2 linked regions of the Bombyx mori genome follow. The protein of the gene in region 1 purifies or fractionates together with the protein of each later gene. This does not show direct contact. Links are inferred from orthologs where the notes say so. Each region holds a gene or a part of one and is shown in the gene's direction. Other genes may lie near its edges.

Evidence for each region.
Region 2: the proteins of putative tRNA pseudouridine synthase Pus10 (region 1) and protein Abitram purify together in Homo sapiens (affinity purification with mass spectrometry; 3 studies listed by BioGRID and IntAct, counting the BioPlex papers as one, with this or other methods). This does not show direct contact. The link is inferred for Bombyx mori from reciprocal best matches to the Homo sapiens genes PUS10 and ABITRAM.

What each region holds. Positions count from the first base shown.
Region 1 is NC_085129.1:17,029,382-17,032,504, reverse strand, and holds the end of putative tRNA pseudouridine synthase Pus10, read left to right. Parts: coding exon 1-29; intron 30-429; coding exon 430-536; intron 537-1,024; coding exon 1,025-1,124; intron 1,125-1,668; coding exon 1,669-1,858; intron 1,859-2,249; coding exon 2,250-2,428; 3' UTR 2,429-2,441; downstream 2,442-3,123. UniProt on the Homo sapiens protein: Protein with different functions depending on its subcellular location: involved in miRNA processing in the nucleus and acts as a tRNA pseudouridylate synthase in the cytoplasm.
Region 2 is NC_085113.1:6,927,567-6,930,201, forward strand, and holds protein Abitram, read left to right. Parts: upstream 1-1,504; 5' UTR 1,505-1,539; coding exon 1,540-2,085; 3' UTR 2,086-2,100; downstream 2,101-2,635. Other genes in the region: COX assembly mitochondrial protein 2 homolog, read left to right, coding at 1,092-1,172, 1,337-1,504. UniProt on the Homo sapiens protein: Actin-binding protein that regulates actin polymerization, filopodia dynamics and increases the branching of proximal dendrites of developing neurons.

The sequences.
Region 1 (3,123 bases):
TCGGTGATGGTAGACCCTTCGCTATCGAAGTAAGGTTTGTTTTTAATAGTCTAGCAACAGTTAGTGTGGTCATGGGTAAAGTTAAAGAATTTGGTAGGATTGAGTGTAATCTCTCTCTCTCTCTCTCTCTCTCTCTCTCTCTCTCTCCCCCTCTCTCCCCTCTCTCCCCTCTCTCCCCCTCTCTCCCCCCTCTCCCCCTCTCTCCCCCCTCTCCCCTCTCTCTCCCCTCTCTCTCTCCCCCTCTCCCCTCTCTCCCCCTCTCTCCCCCTCTCTCTCCCCCTCTCTCCCCCTCTCTCTTACAATTAGTAGAATAGAACGCACGCACGCACGCACGCACGCACACAGTGAAAAGTTATAAAAACATGTATACTAAATTTGCGACTGGAACAGGATGGCTCCAAAATGGTCACCGATTGTGTCATGTTCCAGATCACAGACCCGAGAAGAGACCTCACCGGTGACGAGCTGAAGAGGGTCTGCAAGGAGATTTCGAAAGGTGGCCAAGTGATCGTTCAGAAACTAATGCATGTCTCCAGGTACCTTTTTTTCCTACCTAACCTTGAGAGGCTATGTCAGCGTAACCGGGCGAGTAGGTGAGCTCGCGGGGCTCAAACTTGACGTTGCTAATACGAACCCTAGTAAGGGCCGGATCGGAAACGCGACCCACTGAGAAGATCCGGCGAGAAACTCAGTGGGCTGTGTCAGCAACAGTCTGGTCTGTAGGAGGGGGGGGGGCGTCAGCTTCGGCACGTGATCACTAGGGTAGTGATTGCAAAGGTGGTGAGATCTGCAGTAGACGGACGAGCCCACGGATTAAGTCGTTACCATAGACATGAGTTCGAATTCTTAATTGGCAGACGGCTGCGTCCACCGGCCCTAAAGAACGGATCGTATAACTGAACAAACAGTTTACCTATCGAATGACGTAACAGCGGGTACATATCGCTGTCTCTCTCGCTCGTCCCGTAACGCTGTGACGTCACAACTCGCACGACTCGACTTGTGTACGTTTTTTCTGTCCCAGGAACGAGTTGTCGGAACTTAAAAAGGGGGAAGAGACGAAATGCAAGACTTACGAAGCTCTGTGCATAAAGCTCGGAAATGAGAACGCTGAACCGAATATTGTGAGTTTTTTTTGTTTATTCCGTTGAATTAGCTCAAGGCTTTGACCGCTTAATGCTAGTAAGGAGTCTTAGCTTAGCTGGGCGATCAGTACAACGGTTCTGATAGTAAGGTTTTTGTTATATACAGTACTGAGGAGTGGGGCGTTGTCGGAGCCCGTACGGGTAGGAGGTTTTTTTTTTTTACTGCTTATGTGGGTGGACGAGCTCACAGCCCACCTGTTGTTAAGTGGTTACTGCAGCCCATAGACATCTGCGACGTAAATGCGCCACCCACCTTGAGATAAAGTTCTAAGGCCTCAATATAGTTACAAGGGCTACCCCCAAATTATAATTTTGCAGCTTTGATTTTTATTACACGATGTTATTCCTTCACCGTGGAAGTCTATCGTAGACATTTGTCAAGTACGTATTTGATTAGAAAAAATTGGTACCAGCCTGCGGGATTCGAACACCGGTGCATCGCTTCAATACGAATGCACCGGACGTCTTATCCTTCAGGCCGCGACGACTTAAATAATTAATAGCGATCTCTGCTATTTTCCAGCTGAATGGAAAAACGCCTGTCGCCGTCACCGAGGAGGACATCCAGAGGATAAACGAGTACAGGAACACCGAGGCAGGGGACGAGGCCAGGATCGTGGTGAAACAGAGAACCCCGATCCGAGTGCTGCACAGGCGCCCGCTGCTCACCAGGACCCGGAGGATATATGACGTAGTGGCCAGGAGGGTGCCTGGTGAGTTACTCCCGACCTTGGACCAATTTTATTCGCTTTATATTGTTTGATCAAGCCGTAGCTTGGAACAGTGGCTCTGGAGTTAAATTTGGAAGTGATATCTTCTTTAGCGCTTAGCGTAATGAAAAAATGACACTAAAAAGAGACAGACATATATAAGATTTGTCTGCGAGACGCGAAGTGGAATCGTTTTGAACGTTTACCCTTATTATAATTTTTTTCGCTTCAGACGTTTATTTGAAAACGTGCACGCCGCCATCTTCAGACATGAAGTCGTAGTCTCAAATGTGTTGTATGACTGTCTCGACTTTAAAGCTGGAACGCGTTCCCGTCAAAAAGTCCGGTTCTAAGATCTCAGTATAGTTCTACCCTATTTTTTTTTTGTTTTCAGACTACCCGCAATTGTTCACCCTCACAATCCGCACGGAAGCGGGCACGTACGTGAAGGAGTGGTGCCACGGGGAGTTCGGTCGCACCACGCCGAGCCTCCGCGACGCCGCGGGCTTCCGGGCCGACATACTGGCGCTCGACGTCACCGCGGTGCTGCTCGACTGGCCGCGACCCCAATAAATGATTCGATGTATATTGCGAAGTTTTATTTGTTGAAATTATTTCGTTAGCCTCGTCTGTATTTACCTTTTTTGTAGTAAAATTTTAAAACGTATCGAATTTCTTCATTATATCCACTCATCTTGACAGTACGAAAAATAAATAAAAATCACACATTTTCCTAATTTGAATTTGGATTTGAAGAATATAAATTCTTTAAAATTTAAACTTATTGATACTAAAACCAGCCAGATACAAATAGTATAGCCAAAGAGATTTTATTACAAATTGGAATGATTGGATTTTATTACAGTTGGACACTGAAGCTCACGGACGCCAACAATGCCACGGAAACACCGGAAACAAGTTCATTCCAATGAATGACTCAGTGACGCGGTAGTCATCGCTGCTGACTATGGGGCCGAGTGTTGGGGGTTCGATTGATGATCTTGTGATGATTTATTTGCTTTTTACCCGTACGGTGTTGAATATTTATACGTGTATTTATTTGAAATTAAGCATTTAAATTCTTCTTTATCTCCACCTTATCCCACTAGGTGGGGTCGGCATTCGGATTACAGTAGTGTTAACTATGTCTGTGTTTGCAGAGCATTCCAAATGTTTCGATATTGATTTTTGCTATTTGACGATTGGCGATTTTGCCACTTTGATAAAATAATAAGATACAGAGAAAACAAAATCGTGAAGTGGGATAG
Region 2 (2,635 bases), on another chromosome or scaffold:
CCGGCGGGTTCACGACTAGCTCTTAATATTAATGGGGAAGCTCTTGCAGTGAGCTTAGATATTGTGATGGCTTTCACGAAGGTCTGGCATGTGGAACATCTGTCGAAGCTACCGGCTTGCGTGATTTCTGTCGTTGTTCACGTTTTCTGCTTTAATACCATTCCCGTTAAAGCTTTTGTATCGGTAACGTAGTTAAGTGGAGTGGTAGCTTTACCCTAGTTATCATCTGAAGTGTTGAAAGTCCTCAACAGAGTGGTATTTCACACTTAGAAAAATTATCACAGTGGCTTCTAAGCTGTGTAAAAAGCTTTTAAGCTGTGTAAAGCATAGGTTCGGCTTCCTGTGCTTTCATTTCTGGATCTGTGTTTTCAAGTACCAGCTGTTTCCACTTGACTCCGTAGAGAAATCAATCATTGGAATTATTGATTATATTCACATGGACCATGTAGAACCTTTGGATCAAAAGAGGGAGCTTAGCCATCGTTATAGAAAATTTGATCAAATGAAGTAGGTATGTTATTTTTGCAGTCTGATGATAGAATCAAACAAACAATAGCAATTTTAAACCTTAAGCTGGCAAATGTCAAGATTTTTAGCGGGAACGCGAGAAGTGAAGTAGCGTGAAATGCTTCATTTTGTTAAAGTCTTTGTAATTAACCATCACTTTACTGTGACTTTATTTCATCCCATTTCACCTTATTTCTTTTTATTTAACTTCATCTCGACTGATTAATGTATCAAATTAATCAATTTTCTTTTATTTCGCTCTATATATCATTTTTTATGAAAGAGAATAAAATATACACATTAAGTAGCAATAAGGGATTAGGCAGTATGGTGTAATATCTACGACTTTCTACTTGGAAAAATGGAGCAACTACTACTGTCACTGTTTGACACCAAAGTATGACATTTGCCTTATATTTGTCAATAGAAGATAATTTACAGAAATAGAAGTCTGTGAATTTCTTAGACGAATTTTGATTAGGGAATTATATAACAGAAAGTTACAATTGCATAATTTCTTCAAGAATTAAATTTGTATTAAATAATATTGTTTATTATAAAGTATAATAAAACTTATTTAAGTTATGCACACGGATTTGTCACCCCATTTACACACCGATGAGTGTAATATTTTTATCAAAAAATTAGTAGATTGCCACTTAAATGTAAGTTTACTAATTGTATATTAAAAACGATTTAGTCCACAACTTACTGTAATGTAACGTGGAAACTATGCTTCATACTTTTGTTTTTAGGTTATAATTGAACCTTTCATTGTATTCAACAAAGATAGTACTATCATAAAATAAACATAAAAGTTTCGTTTCAGCATCCATTTCGTAAATTTATAGGTTATTGCAATGATTATGATCGCGACATGAGGAAATGTTTGAAAGCTGAAAGACTTCAGAGGCAAAAAGCTAATCTAGATGAATCTAGACAACGCCACGCCAATATTCGAGCACGAATTTTAGCCCAGAGCGCAGCAGCCAACTGATATATATTTAAATTAGAAAACATAGTTTTGTGATTATGAAAACAATGGATTTCAACATTCTAGATTCAATACCAGACTTAGACAATCTGAAGACCTTCACAGAGAGATACTTTTCAAAACGATACTTAATTAATGTAGATGGCATAAAAAATAATGATATGATGATAATGTTTCATTCAAACCGAATTGCATTGTTATCTCTAGCACCAAGTCATTCCTTCTTCAGTAAAGACGAAAATTACAAAATTAACTTCAACATTGGTAAAATTGATCGTTTGAACAATTCTGTCAAAGGAAAAAGTAAAAAGGGCGGACAACTATTATCTCCAAAATCTGTGATTTGCAAGATAGAATTCAGCGATGAAAGCGTATTTGAAGTGCCCTGTTGCATGAAAGGTACTTTGGTTGAAGTTAATGAAGAACTTGTACAGAATCCATTGTTGCTGAAAAACATGCCAGATTCTGATGGATTTATTGCCATTATGCTAGCAAGTATAGCAATTTCAGAAGCGACAAAAAGTGAGTTGTTAACTCATGAAGAGTACATAAAATGTATTGATTGTTCTGTTAATAAACAATAGTATTAACTTTTTAAAGTTTGGTTTTATTTATTTGATATTGTATTAAAACCAAATTAACTACAATGTAAACTCTATGAAATCTTATTTCAACAGGATTATTCCTAAAAGTGATTAGGTTCATTGGATCTTTGTTAACATAATTAAAAGTACTTTTGTGACTGTTCATGTCATATATGATCACGATTGTAAAGTATTGAATACAGTCAGATATCCATACAAAAAGCATCTCATTCACAATTGAAACTGTTTTATTATCTGTTAGAAAAATTATGTGATACCAGACAAAAGAATTGGCGCTTTTCCTTGATCATGAGGACAAAGCAGCCCATAACAACTAGTGATAATGAAAGTATAAAAACATGATTAAACTGTAAAAGGAGTTTTAATTACTGCTGCAACTCTTGAAACCAAAGGTGGTGCTATGTTAATAATTCATTAATTTCACATTTAATCGTGCACTTTATTGCAACTGTAAGTGGATGACAGCCTACGTGATGCTAAGTAGGCTACGAATAAATAGACTTATTATTTATTCGTAGTAAGTAGGTCA